Arabidopsis thaliana: one gene and its partner. The protein of the gene in region 1 interacts with the protein of each later gene in a biochemical or structural test. Each region holds a gene or a part of one and is shown on either strand. Other genes may lie near its edges.

Region 1 (7,891 bases):
TAACAGTTTTTTTTCTCCATTGGTCTAGATTGAAAGTGTGTTTTACCTTGAGAAACCTATAGATGTAGTAACTTTTCTCTATATATATGAAAGTGGCTTCTAATAAGCCTCCTCTCTAGTTAATTTTGTAAATTAGTAAACGAGATCACTCATGAAAACTAAAATCCTGGATTGTGAAGGCACAACAAAGTCATCAGCATGTGAAAAATAAGATTTAGCTGTATATAAGATATGTGACCATTGGATTTGTGAACTTGATCAGTCAACAATTTTGACTGTAGAAAAGTTGATATCTTGTCTTGTTGGTTGAAAAACCTTGAGACTTAAAACCCAAAAGGCAAAAGCCGTAACCGGATTGGTCGGCTGCGTTTGGGGTCCAATGGTAAACAAAGAGACAAATATCAGATCATGCTCTCAAGCTCTGATGGGTCAATTCTTTCGGGTCAACGTGCTTAAACAGCAGCTCTGAGAATGACACTTCTTAATTTGCCGATGCTATAAGAAAATGACCACTCCTCCTTAACGTAGGGGCCATTTTTGGTATTTATATATGATAGTTGTTGTTACAAGCGGATCCCAAAAATGGCATATATTCAAGGATTTTGTGAAGTTTTCTAGTTATCAAATTAGCCACAAGTAAGGATGTTTCTTAAGGGTAAAAATTCCGATGAAAGGGAAAAGAAAAAGAGTTGAAAGAAGTTTTTATTTTTTGAATCATAAAAAAGAAAATCTTAAGTGGTTTTGGGAAAATCCGTAAGTCCCAAGTTTTTTGGTCGAGTCCTATCATGTTGCATTGTGGAACCATCAGTTTTTTGTTTTGTTCATCAATTTGTCTTCTTTTCATTTTGTTATATGTGCACTAGATGAATATCTATCCACAAAATTAACTCTTATTTGAAAAATAGAGCTGATCAATATTGTTGAAGCAAGACCGAAATAAGGCTACAAAATATATATTTTTTGGATTGAGACCGAACCTGACCTAAATGGCATCCCTAATCAGTGAGACATATATCAAACAGTATGCAACTTTTGTCTTTGGTATTGTGTTTTCAATGGAGGCTTGAGATTCACGAAATATAGCATTTCGGATTCGCAACTGACTAATCCCTATGTAGTATAGAAGATTACGGAAGCACGAGGATAATTATAAAAAAGGAAGAGGGGGAGGTGAGAAAGTGGTGGTGGGTGGTCCTTAAGCCTTGAAGGAATCAAAGAAGACATCTCACACTTGACCCCAATTATTATGCCACCTTCTCTCTCACGTCTCCATCCATTTTCGTTGTCATCTCTTTTTTTTCTTGAGGCTTTACTCTTCAAACGTGTCACCTCTTTAATGGCAAATCTTTCCTCTCTTTCATTTGTTTTTGTAATCCCTCAAATTCTCGATAGTTTTTTCTTTTTATTGTCTTTTTCTAACATGTTAATCTATCATCACTTAGATTCTCGATAGTTTTTTTTCTAACAGTGGAATGTCCTTGGAAATCGTACGTATATTAGTTTTTTCTTATATCAATCATGATATATTCATCGCAAATAATTTTGCAATCTAGCTATATAAAGCCGTGTTTTCCTTTTGTCACTTAAAATGAATTAATGGTTTGCATAAAAACTAAAGGGATGGATACCACTTGATAGCCACAATTGGTTGCCTATATGAATTTTTGCTCCTACGTATCACGTCGGCCATGTCCTCGATCGTTATATGGACGTAGATTTTCATAATTATCTACTAATTAATTAATGCCCTAATGTTGTTTACATTCATATGTTATTGCTCCAAATATCATAGGTTAAATATGTGTTTTCTTTTGTTGATAATTGACTGAGAATTAACTTCGCAAAACGTACGTTAACCATTTCTTCAAAGGCTAACAAACATTCAACTTAAATTCATATCGTCAGAACTTTAAAAATGTTATCTACTTTCAGATTTATTTAAGTAATTAGCGAACCATAAACCAAACTAAACTGGTTGGCTGGTATTGGTCTAAATATTATTCATCATGTACGAATTTAGCTATAACTAAAGATAATCCTGATCCATTTTTGTGAGGACAAAGTATGATATATGCACTCATTTTGTTTCACAAAGTTGGTTAAGTTGTAGGACACACGAAAGGCGTTTTAACTTATTGTATCTTCTTTATGAATTTAATTTTCTTACAAATTAAAGATTTAAAAAAAAAAAAAAAAAACTGTTCGAGAAGAAACTAAATTCAGATAAAGAGGTCTCTCACATGCGACGCACTTTGAGCAAAAGAGTCGGACCGTAGGGTCGTCATGCACATGCCTTCTCCGTCTATATTTATACTTTTATTAAAATTCAAATTTTTTGGCATATAGCTTATAAATATCGAAATTACATTTTCTTAAATATAGCTTTTAAAATTTTATTAGGTGAATGAACAATTGATTTTAATATCCGATACGTACAACGGACCTATAAATTAGATACACATTTAGAGAGAAACTAAATGAGTTTTTAATATTATTTTAGAATAACCTCTAATGTTTATATCTAACTGGTGGAACCTAGATTCTTGAGGAATATCTCCAAATTGACACATTTAAATTCTCGATGGAATTTTTTTACTTACGGATTTATCTTAAATATACAAAGTTGTCATGAGCATCAGCACATATGTGGACTAAAGACAAATCGTTGGGTTTAAACTTTAAAAGTTAATTTCTGGAATTATGCTTCTAGTAAATATTTGAAACACTTATTATATTCAAATTTTTTTTTAGAAATTTCATTTTCTTAGAAAATATTTACAATTCAAACTTGTGAAACGACACCAAAATATTTCGAATCCTATTATAAGGTTTTTAGAAAAACATAGTATTTTCGTCCAACTCGTGATGATTTTGACAATTTTTTTTTTCCAGGGCAAACAAATCATTAAAAACAATAAGACATTCCCACGATAAAATCGTAAAAGAATTAATTGAAACAAATTCATCGGCTTATACACTCGGCTATAAAGCCGAGCCGAGATTAGTAGACGGCTGAAGCTCCGACAGAATCTTTGATAGAGCTGTCATGGCTCGGACTTGCATTTCCAAAGCCGCTATGTAATCTGCTGTCTCGTCCAAAAGCTCCGGTAACGCCGTTCTCCGGCAACCCGGCACCAACCCACCCAAAACCCGGACCCGATTTCCCACCGCCGATAACTTCCTCCTCCTCCCACTTCCACCACTTCCCCTGATCGCCGCAGCTAATGCCGACGCCGGTTTGGTATTCCTACGCCGCCTCAGACTCGTTCCGAATCGACTAACCAAAATGGCTCGGCTCCACCGAGTTGCACCACGAGCGGTCGTCGCAAGGACTTTGTCGGCCGTGTCCCGGACTGTTGCGCTCCGCCGCGATCGTTGAAGAGCGTCGTAGAGCTTTAGGGAATATACCTTCTGCGCCGTTGTGGCTCTCCATCTACGACTAAGATGCCTTACCGGAGCTTCTTCAGAGCTTACCCTTGATCGACGTAGAGCCTCCATCAGCTTTGGAGCGAAAACTCTTTGTCCTCTTTGCAATCTCCGGCGAAAGGGGATTGTTTTAGTCCCTTCTACCTCCGGTGACGTGGAAGGATTCGATCCATTTCCTTGTTCAGAAGACATTCACAAGAAATCTATAGAACCACACTTAAACAACGTTTTGTTTTTGTTTCTTGTTCTCTTGGAAAATTTCCAAGAACAGTTATTTATAGAGTCAGAGAACAATGTTGAGCTCTTTCTTATTTTGATAATAATTTTGAGTAATTGGAGGGGATATCTAATTCTCTATATATAAACATTTGGGAGAGATTGGAGAAGCCACCCTTAAATCAATTATTTTCTATATTTTCTTGGGTTTTTCGAATTGAATACCATTATTTTTTATTTATTTTTCTTTAATAATAATGTACGTCTAAAATCACATTGGCCAATTATGATTGAACTGGTGAATGAAAAAAATTCAGTTTGAACTTAATGCATTTTTAGATTAGAAAAATGATTCAGGAACAAAAAATATCTTTTCTTCTTTCGACGTCGAACGAAAATATCTATCTTCGTTGCAAAATTAGATATTTGAACAGATATTTTACTCATAGACTAAACTTGAAACTTTTTACATATCTATTTATGATGGTGAGCGGCGTAAATTTGTGTTATGACGTGGAATATTTAGTTTGTAGATTTTTAGTTGTGAAAAGAACAAAATTGGCGATGGAATGGAGGAGTTTGATGTAATAATGTGGAGGGCAATGATTGGTGGCAATATAACCAATAGATCGAACAAATAGCTATCAAACAAAATTTAACATAAAGAAACAAAAAAAGCTAATGAGTTTTTTTTTTAAAGAAGGAACAAAAAAAAAAGGAAAAGAATAGGAAAAAGAGAAGATGCATGTGATGGTGTTTTATTTCACGACCTTCACACCTTAGGCTTAGTGGTTGTTGTGGCTATTTATCATCCACATTTTTTGGCTCAAAATCTCTCTATTTTTTCGAAAAAAGATTTTCAGTATTTGGTGTTTTGTGAAACATATAACATGTTCTTTATACTTTTCTTCCTTTTTTTTAGAAAATAATAATTTGATTTAGTTGATTTTTTTCGAAAAGCATAGAATTGGGTTTTGGATTGCACTAGTCAATCAGTTTATAAGTGGAAAGGCAAGTTCTATATATACATACTAAATAACATTATAAGTTTTCCTTAAATATTTTTATACCATGTCAAGGATTATAACTAATCTAACATCTATCCGTCAAAAGTTACTTAAGGGTTGGGAAACGCATATGTTTCGTATTTGTTTAGGCTAGTAAGAAGTAAGAACATACGAAAAAAAAAGACAAAGTATTAGCAAAGAAATTAAGAAACAAAAGTATCCAATTAGCAAAGAAAAACAATGCAAATGTGGGGTTTCAAGCAATAAACGTGAGTCATGACAGAGAGATTTGCCTCCTGGCGTCAGACACGCTTTGATATCCTCTTCTTAATTTTTTCTTCCTTTTCTGTTTGTTTATTTATTATTCCCAAATCAAATGATTAGTTGTTATCCTCATTGATTATTTTTTGGTTATCCCAATTCAGGACAATAATATTAATAATGATGACAATGATTTGTTTCATGAACAAAATATTAGGTATGTGTGCACTTAAATTTTTTCTATCTTTTTTTTTTTTTTGGTTATAGACAAATCTTTCTGAATATTCTGTCAAAAACATCGATATATGTTAGAAATCAAACTTATGAATTATTAAACGGAGCCGTACATTGCATGCGAAACAAAGAACAACAATATGGAATAATTAGAGTACTAATTAAGTTATATACACAACATCCTCTCTTTTTTTTTTCCTTTCAATTTTCACGTTTTTAGTATTTCATTTTGTCAACAGTTATACTGATTAGCAGAAAGAAACAATTCTTTTTTATTTTTTGACATAAAAAAAATACATCTGCTTAATTTGTTGTATCATCAAACCGGTTCAGTTTCACTTTAACCATAAACAAATTCCTCGAAAATTCCAAAGAAGAAAGATAGTACCAATTGGTACCGTAAGGGCTCCTGAAAATGAAAACAATAAAAGCCCAGGACCAAGATAAAGTTTATTACTTCGGCCCAAAATTTAGCTAACGACCGATTTTTTTTCAAACCGGTCCTGGTTTGGTTTAAGACTAGTAATAAGATATAAATGCAATGAAACGACATCGTTGGAGGCAGTGGATGTCCTTTTCCCAAAAATACGTTTTCTTCCTTTTTTTTTTTTTTTGTTTATTAATTCTTGGGAAGGGGTTTATGAAGGGCTTTTGACACCACCAGTCTTCGTCTACAACATTCTTCACTTTCGTACGGTTTCTTGCCTATTAGGCTAAGCTTAACCCTAATTTCCCAAATTCGCTACTCAAGATCTTCCTCCCCCGTCATGCTGAAGTTTCTCACTCCGACTGCTTACGCTTCCCATCACGTGACTCCGGCTACTCGATTCCGGTCTACCCCGGTTAAGAATCTATTGTTCAAGCAACTGACTCTTCTAACCGGATGGAACCGGAGTTCCTACGAATTGGGTCGTCGTTCTTTTTCCTCCGACTTGGATTCCGACACAAAGTCTTCAACTACTACTGTCTCAGCTAAACCTCACCTGGACGATTGTCTAACGGTTTGTTCAAATTTTTTCAAGATCACACTTTTTTTTTTCCCGACTATGGGGAATTTTATGATCATGGGGAATGTAAGATTTCCAGAAACAATTGAACTTGGCTGGTGCACTTCATATGCTTTGATTTTTCATAGAACATAGAGAAATCAGCTCAATTGGCAAAATTTTCTTTATGGTTCTAGCGATTGGAAAGTTAAAACTATAAACTTTAATAGCATTGGTTGGAAAATTCGAAATTTTGAAGAAATTGAGTGTGTTTATAGTATACTGATCTTTTGATATACGCAAATTTGGATGGATCATTCCTAGTTTTATAGTCAGGCAAAAGCTAGAACCTTTTATAGCAAAACCATTTCCTCGAGCTTCGCTACGATTGTTTTCATTGAGCTTTATGTTGTTGAATTGCAGGTTATAGCATTGCCATTGCCCCACAAGCCTCTTATTCCTGGCTTTTACATGCCAATATATGTCAAGGTATCTTACATCAACTTAGCTATTCGAAATCATAGTGAAAGAATGGATTTTGTTATCTTGTGTTCTCTCACCTGTATGTATAAGCTTTTTATTTGTCTAGGATCCTAAAGTTCTTGCAGCTTTACAAGAGAGTAGAAGACAACAAGCTCCATATGCAGGGGCTTTCCTTTTGAAGGATGACGCGTCATCTGACTCATCTTCGAGCTCTGAAACTGAGAATATTCTAGAGAAGTTGAAAGGAAAAGAGTTGATTAACCGGATTCATGAAGTTGGCACACTTGCCCAGGTACTACTTTCTTGCCGCACGTTAGCACTGTATGTTTTCCCTTTATATGATTATATCTGTCTGAATAGACTTAGCTGTTGCCAATTTTCCAGATTTCAAGTATCCAAGGTGAGCAAGTCATCCTTATTGGTCACAGACAACTTCGAATAACAGAGATGGTACGTTAAAGGAACATATCTTTTTAAAGGATCAAAAGTTCATGAAAAGTAAAGATTCAATTGTTCAGAAGCTCTGTGTATATCTTACACATGTGTGTTCTGCTTATCAAGTTATGGTTCTCTGAGTGTGAAAACCATGTGCTTTGTTTCTGTTCAGGTGAGTGAGAGTGAAGATCCCCTAACCGTCAAAGTTGACCATCTAAAGGTGTGTTTCTGTTTTCAAGCCTTTCCTTTTATGATACAAGCATGGGAGCAAGAGATGCGGTTTCTGTTTTCTTTTGAAATGCTGAAATCTTTAACCCTTGTCACGTGTTCTTTGTTATTTATTTGCAGGATAAGCCATATGACAAGGACGATGATGTCATCAAGGCAACATACTTTCAAGTGATGTCGACACTTAGGGATGTCTTAAAGACAACTTCACTCTGGAGAGATCATGTTCGGACATATACCCAGGCATGTTCTCTTCATATTTGGCACTGCTTGAGAGTAAAGAATATGTCAAGAGTATCAGTATCTTACTAGATTTATCTAAAATAGCATATAGGTGAATTCAATTATCCAAAGTTAGCCGATTTTGGAGCTGGGATCTCTGGCGCTAACAAACATCAAAATCAGGGGGTTCTTGAAGAACTGGATGTAAGTAGTTAGCTATTAGTCTATTACTGTCACGTTTTGATGCTGAGATTACCTCAAACAGGATGATAGTCCATTCTTAGCCAGCTTCTCATATGTTTTTTTCTTCGATCCAGGTTCACAAACGTCTAGAGTTGACGCTGGAATTGGTGAAAAAAGAAGTTGAAATTAACAAGATTCAAGTACGTCATT
Region 2 (7,435 bases), on another chromosome or scaffold:
AACGTAGATCGTAATTTGATCTAAGCATCTTTGTATGTAAAATATGTGTTTTTCAATTTCTAATATAATTTATTATATATATATATATATATATATATATATATATATGTGTGTGTGCGCGTAATAAAATATGGTACAAATAATATATGTTTATATATATATATATATAAACATTTTCTACAAGCATTATGTATAAATATTTTCTACAAGCATTTATCGCCAATTTCTATAATATGTTTCGAAGATATAAGCCTTACTAATTAAAAAAAAATAATCTATTTTCACTCATCAAAAACAGAATTCCACGGGACTAGAGTTATCTTCCCAATTGTCTATATCTTTGCATAATCCTAATCAATCTTCGGCTTCTAAACCTGTGAGAGACTAAATTTATTTTTGCATACATACGCGAGCCTGAATTTGTCTTCCCTATTTCGGATCTCTTTTATCGAATTCTCTAAAAAAGGCTTGCATAATCCTAATCAAATTTTCAGCTTCGGAAGCTGCATATGTTAATTAATTCCAACATTTAGGATTGAAATCAAATCACCATCATTCTTTACTATTATCAAAAATGAATAGTAAAAACTATTGAAGATCTTTCAGAAAGCAAAACTTCTGATTAAACCCCACTTTAACTACTCAGTAGAAAAATATTCATCAAATTCATTGTTATCATCATGAAATCATATAATCCAATTTAATTTCTTTTACTAAACTTTATAATACTTAAACTCAATATAAACATTATTTTATTTTCTGTGTAACATAAATAAATAAAAACAGAAGAAAACTAGACAAACCGAAACAAGTAGCAAAACGAATAAACAAAACGGATTTGGAGGTTTTAACAAAAAAAATAAGACTGTAATAAGAATAGAATGCTCGTGAAATAAAGCTTAATCTTCGCTGTCGATTGATTAGTGATCATGTGCCGCGAGAGACACGCTGACCACAATTTAACACATCTGAGCTCTTTGTTTATGTTCCTTTCTTTAGAAATAAAACTCATATCAAATCTTACCTAAAATAAAAAAAACTTACAATTAGATCTTTTCTCTCTAATGTAATCACTTTTAGACTTATTTAACTTTGTTTTTTTATAGCGAAGAAAAGTTATGATTGATTGTTTTGGTTGACCTTGTGTGTATATACTATCTATTTATGTTCACCCGCAATTATTATTTAAGTCCCCTATTCGAACTTTTTATCTCTAGATATTATTAGTTCTCTCATGATCATGTTCAATCCTATCCACACAGATATATCATATTTGTTGATGATTCGATATAGAACTATCGAGATGTCTCTAATTTTTTTCATTATCTTTTGTAATTCCTGTTATCTTGGAAACGTTTTAAAGCTATGTCTGATATGTTTATCAAATAAAGGAAAAAGGGAAAGAAAAAATAACTATGCCTGATATTGACTCTCCGACGAAAACTTGGTGAGAAGACCATTCATGTCATTTAAATGGAACACACGAAGAAGATAAATAGTGAAATTCGGTTGGAGCTAGGTCCCCATACCTATCACTAGACTACCATCTAATTATATATGATATATATTATATAAAACCACATTTGATATGATCTTATAAATTAATATTATACAATAATTTTGACTTTTAATAATTTATCGCTCATTTACCATTTCAAAAATTGTGAAGGTATATATACAATAGTAGGAGTACAAAATTTTGTATCATTAACATTATATTTTGTTATCGCCAATTTTCTACCGTTTCAATGAGCTAGTGAGAAATGGAGTTGAAAATTTGTACAACAGCCTACAGCAGTACAATTAAGTTCTTCTAGAAGATTTTACTGAAATGGTCGCTACTTTTCAACATACAAGGAATTTGCATTTAATGAATCAAAAGTAAATTGCATTACCATATATTTCTCCAATGTATTAAAATCTGAGATTTTGTGTTTCGTCCTCCACAGCTCACTCTTCGAGTTTACATTTTTTCTTTGTCGTCTTATACTTTCTCTTTTTGAAACATATCTCCTTATTTTCTTGGCTTATTTTAACTATATAAGAAAGTACGTAATTTTTACTATACAAGAATTTGTAGTTTTCACTTTTCAGGCTCGAAACTACAAGGATCTCAGAATTATTATAAAAAAGGCGTAAGAAATACAAAGTTGGCGAATATTTTTCTCTGTAAACTATTGTCCTAACATTCGTTACAAAGAAAAACAACGAATAAGAAAATGCAGAGGTAGATATGGGTCTAAAATTTTGGATTGTTGACGTAACAAAAATATCTAAATTTTAACCAATATATATCTAAACGACTTCTGTGTATTGATACAAAAAATAACAAATAAAGATAAAATATTGATGAAAATAAATTTTCCTCAAGTTTCCAAACGATAGGCAAATGTTGGTTTTAATATTTGCTGTTAAAATCATTTTAGCATAGTGGTTAAATTAAAAATGCTTTTAGTTAGAAACATTTAGTGAATACTTGTTGTTGTTAAAGAAACGTTAAGTGGATACGGTAGTTCAATACTTTAAGTATGTTTCTATTCTCTTTTTTATTCTTATTCATCATAATTTTTATATTTTCCTGTTTTCTCTTTTCAATAATAATATTAATTCATAATTAACTTAGATACATTTTCTATATCTTTAGGCCTATGAGTTTCTAAATACGGCCCTAGCTACGTGTTTTTGTGGTGCAGCTGATTAGTGCATATAGCTAAATAAATAACTAAACAATGAGATGACCGATGAAGTGTTCAACGTCGGTCGGTGCAAGTGAACGCGCCTCCCGAAATGCCACGTGTGTGTTGTTTTGTTGATCAAAGAACATGGGCGTGTGTGTGATCTCTTTGACCAGTCAAATCACTCATACTTTGGCTCTTTCCTCATACACACAAAATGTATACGTATATTAATTAAAAGAATTACTGTGTGTAGATTTTTTCTTATACGTCGTCATGTATTTTTTTTTAAATTTGGTCATGTATGTTTTTTTATATTCTGCATTAAAAATACCAAAACAATTCTTATATTAGAGTAGAGGGAGTAAAAAAACAAAAAAAAAACAAAACAAATTGAATTACATTGTTAATTAAATTTCTTTTTTTTTTTTTATATAACTAATTGGCTGTTCGGTCATTTTTGATAAAAACACACTAAAAATGCTTCAGAAATAATCTGATTTTGTATTGTATAAAATGCCGGTTTAAATAACAATGCCATAAATTATAAGTTGGTAGTATTAAAAAAAATATAAGGTACATGTGTGGACGTGGTAGAGCGAAATCCCAAACATCGATAATGTGAATTTGTATCTTAATAGAAGTTGTGTTTCGAGGAATGGATAGGCTTATTTTACTTATAAAGTATATATAAAAAAAAAAGTATAATACTTTCTTCCTTGATAAACGCACAAAATTCAGTTCAATATCTTCTTTAGTTTAACATTACTCACCACAGAAGTAACAATACTCTACCATCTTTATAACCTTTCAATATATACAAATGTTTATTTCTGTTACATGACGTCCATGTCTGTTCGTATAAAATAAAAAATATTAAAATGTTTCTTTTCACTTCCTATTTTTTTCGTAATAAAAAAACTAAGTTGAAGATATATAAATTATTAAGGTAATGAAGAATGTTAAAAATAGACCTTAGAAGTTAGAACTCTAATATATGAACTGCAAGGTCCGAGTGTCAAATTCAAAGCTCGAAACATATTAATAAATTTTACGGTATAGGGTAATTTTTCATATATGTTTTGGCTAGATTCAACGATATATATTATTATACCTAGCAAATTTAGATCTATGTACATTTAAAATACGAGATTCTCTGAAATCGTTCTATTATAACAAAAGTTGTCAGGAGAGGGGGCATATAATTCAATATTTGAAAAATAAGATTCGCAATATATTTTTTTCTAACTAAAATAAGAAAGCAATTTTATATATTTTTCATAAACAAATAATAAAAAGACCTACATAAATACAACCGTCACTTCACTTGTTTCCTTCATACTATCAACTTTTCTCTATCTATCTCTCTCTCTTCTTTTTCCGGCATAACTTCTGTGTTACCCTAAACTCCATAACCTGTTTCACCGATAAAGTGCCTTTGCTTCTATCTCTGTCACTCTTACTACTTGTTGAACAATATTCTACAAAAAAATGTCGGGAAGAAGATCACGTTCGAGGCAATCATCAGGAACTTCAAGGATCTCAGAAGATCAAATCAATGATCTGATTATCAAGTTGCAACAGCTTCTTCCTGAGCTCAGGGACAGTCGTCGTTCCGACAAGGTATGCTGAATCTAACTAAGTCAACTAGTTATGTAATATATATGCGTATATATGGCATGAAAATAATGATACATGATACATATTGACAGGTTTCAGCAGCGAGGGTGTTACAAGATACGTGCAACTACATACGGAATCTGCATAGAGAGGTTGATGATCTAAGTGAGAGGCTATCTGAGTTACTAGCAAACTCAGACACTGCACAAGCTGCTTTAATCAGAAGCTTACTTACCCAATAATTCCTATCTATCTTTTTCTTCTTCTTCTTTTTTTTGTTTACTATAATAATAATAATAGTTTGCGGGTTTTTTTTTCTATAGATGTTGATGACCTTATAAACGTTTAATGATACGAGTTCGTCACTTCTGCTTGGGTCATAAATATTCGCTTGTTTCCAATATAAAACCTTTGCCCATTTTCGGTTATCTTGTTTGTCTCTCCTTTTTTTCTTTCTAATATGCATTTAATTTGGTTAGGGTTTTGTTCACCAAAGACTTGGCTATGTTCATTTCTAAGCTTTTTATTGGTTTCGTGTTTTTGAGTAATATAAAACATGTCATAACAAGAGCTTATATGAAGAACAACGAATTTGTAATTTAAAACATGCCATTCAAAAATTTCATCTTATTTTTTTTTATCGATCTTGAGATATGAAAAACCTTACAAAGCGTAATGGTTCCCTAAATCGTCCAAGAACACATATTATGAATTTATGGGCTTTCTTCTAAATGTCAAAAGAAGAATACAAAGTCGTAGTTGATTACTAAATATATCATGAAAATATTATAAAATAATTAATTATTTAAGTTGGATACCGAGCAATCTATGAAACTGTCATTTCCGCATATTAACATTGAAGGAATTATTGGAAGATTATGTTTATGGGCAATAAAGTATGGGGTGAACTTGACGCTATGCACTCAAAAGAAGCACAAAAAGCTGCAAATTTTATGCCATAACCTAATTTCGATTTTTGCCACTTTTAATTTTTTATTTGAAATTTTTATTTTCTTCCCACCAAACATACTTATTTGAGATTTTTTTGCTTCCTTATATAAAAACGAGATCTTGTGCCGCCAAACCCAACCAGAACTAATGGGTTCGTCAATGATGATTGAAATAGAGCACCGAGCCTAAACACTTACATTTTTATATGTGAATCTTCAATGAATATTTTTTGTAACAACACGCATTATGATTTAAATCCGGATAGGAATACAATAACGATATTAGGACAAACTACTATCTCTTCATATCTTTATCCACAATGGATTTCTTGTCATATTCAAGAAATGAAACAAATAACTACATATGAGATAATAATATCTATATGGGACTTTGACGTTAACATAAAAAAATCTAATTTTCACTACAAATTCATAGTCATTTTCTCAGAGTTCCAAGATAACTCTCATATATTAAAGATCATGTCCACTATAATCGTGTATGTTAAATGGTAACCGATTGTTCTCTATTGATTTAGATTCATCTTAGCTATAATCATTTATTCATTTATCATAAACAATATGATCATTTAAAATTATTAAGAAATCAATAAGAAATAACAAAATAAAATGTAATAAAAATTATTCTATAAAAAAGTCAGCTAGTAAATTTATAACCAAAAAATAAAAAAGAAAATTAATGGGAAGAGTGTGGGGGACACGAGAGTTTCACGTGACGTAAATAAGTCAATTGGTAATTAATAGGGTGACTCTCTCTGACAGGAAGTTAATACAACACGGAAACTCTTTTCTCCAAGTTCTCTCTAATTATAGTTTTTCCAAATTTTTACAATTCCAACCCCTTTCTCTCTAATCTCTCTTCCAAACCTCTGCATCGCTTTCAAATCCAAATACATTTTGACTCTTTTCACCACTCTCGTTTCCACGTTCTTCCTTTTCACCAGAGGAAGAATGTCGATGACAGAGCCGGTGTGGAAGATCAATCCATAGCCATTTTAATACTCTGTTTTATTTCTTCCATTAATTGTATCTAGGGTTTTGGTTTTTGGATGATTACATCTTTGTATAGGATTAAATGGGGAATTGCTTTGAATCTTGTTCGAAGAGAAATGATAATGAGGACGATAATCTTGACTCCTCAGTGAACTCGAAACCCTTTTCACGTAAGCTCTTCTCATTCTTTGATATTCATATCTCTCTGTTTCTGGAAGAGTCTAACTAAATTCTTACTGGAATTGTTGAACATAACTTGTCCTTTTGCACATTTTCCTGGACCCTCTGAATGTTAATGCATTGATGGATGAATCTTTTATGTAGTCTGGTTATTCGATTGCCCTGTTCTTAACTTTAGTGACTTTGTTGTTGATAGTTCTGTTTATCCATTTAATTCTCATTTTGATGTAAGAATGTGTGGCTCTGTTTCTTATCCAGGAGCTAATAGTGATACTGGAAGAAGCTCGAATCTGTCATATCCATGGAGTTTAAAACCTCTCATTACAAGAAAATGTGAAGCTATCAGTGCTCTACCTCCACCGCACAAAGAAGGAGACATAATGCATTCTCAATATTTGAAGTCCTTTACCTTAGATGAGCTAAAGAATGCTACAGGAAACTTCTGTCCAGAGAGTCTAATTGGAGAAGGAGGGTTCGGGTTTGTTCACAAAGGCTGTATTAATGGTGGACCTGGAATCGAACTCGCGGTTGCTGTAAAGAAGCTTAAAACCGAAGGGCTTCAGGGACATAAGGAGTGGCTGGTAAGCTTCTTTTCAAATCATTTTATTATGATTTCACCTTGAGACTGTACTCTATTGAAATCTCTACTACTTGTATATGGTTTTCTCCAAAGAGGGAAGTGAATTATCTTGGAAGATTGCATCATCCGAATCTAGTGAAACTGATTGGTTACTCCTTGGAAAACGAACACCGCCTTTTGGTTTACGAGCATTTGCCTAATGGTAGTCTTGAGAATCATTTGTTTGAAAGTAAGTAAAGAAACTCTTTCTTAAATCTAAAACTTTTTGAGTTTTTTCCTTCAATGATCTGGATTCTGCTTATTCTAGGGAGTTCCAGTGTGCTTTCTTGGTCACTGCGTATGAAAGTCGCGATTGGTGCTGCTCGAGGGCTATGTTTTTTGCATGAAGCTAATGACCAAGTCATTTACAGAGACTTCAA

What was found. The genes of interacting proteins can lie anywhere in the genome.
Region 2: the proteins of AIF1 (region 1) and BS1 form a complex in vitro, tested with the Arabidopsis thaliana proteins (one study listed by BioGRID).

Annotation. Positions count from the first base shown.
Region 1 is NC_003074.8:1,723,203-1,731,093, reverse strand, and holds AIF1 (AtBS1(activation-tagged BRI1 suppressor 1)-interacting factor 1), read right to left. Parts: upstream 3,944-7,891; 5' UTR 3,619-3,943; coding exon 2,983-3,618; 3' UTR 2,729-2,982; downstream 1-2,728. Other genes in the region: LON4 (lon protease 4), read left to right, coding at 5,912-6,145, 6,554-6,619, 6,720-6,905, 6,998-7,063, 7,221-7,268, 7,397-7,552, 7,604-7,702, 7,816-7,881. UniProt on the Arabidopsis thaliana protein: Atypical bHLH transcription factor probably unable to bind DNA. Negatively regulates brassinosteroid signaling.
Region 2 is NC_003070.9:27,995,400-28,002,834, reverse strand, and holds BS1 (activation-tagged BRI1(brassinosteroid-insensitive 1)-suppressor 1), read left to right. Parts: upstream 1-4,013; 5' UTR 4,014-4,166; coding exon 4,167-4,298; intron 4,299-4,387; coding exon 4,388-4,537; 3' UTR 4,538-4,916; downstream 4,917-7,435. Other genes in the region: AT1G74490 (Protein kinase superfamily protein), read left to right, coding at 6,339-6,426, 6,695-7,017, 7,110-7,245, 7,324-7,435. UniProt on the Arabidopsis thaliana protein: Atypical and probable non DNA-binding bHLH transcription factor required for MONOPTEROS-dependent root initiation in embryo. Promotes the correct definition of the hypophysis cell division plane. Transcriptionally controlled by MONOPTEROS.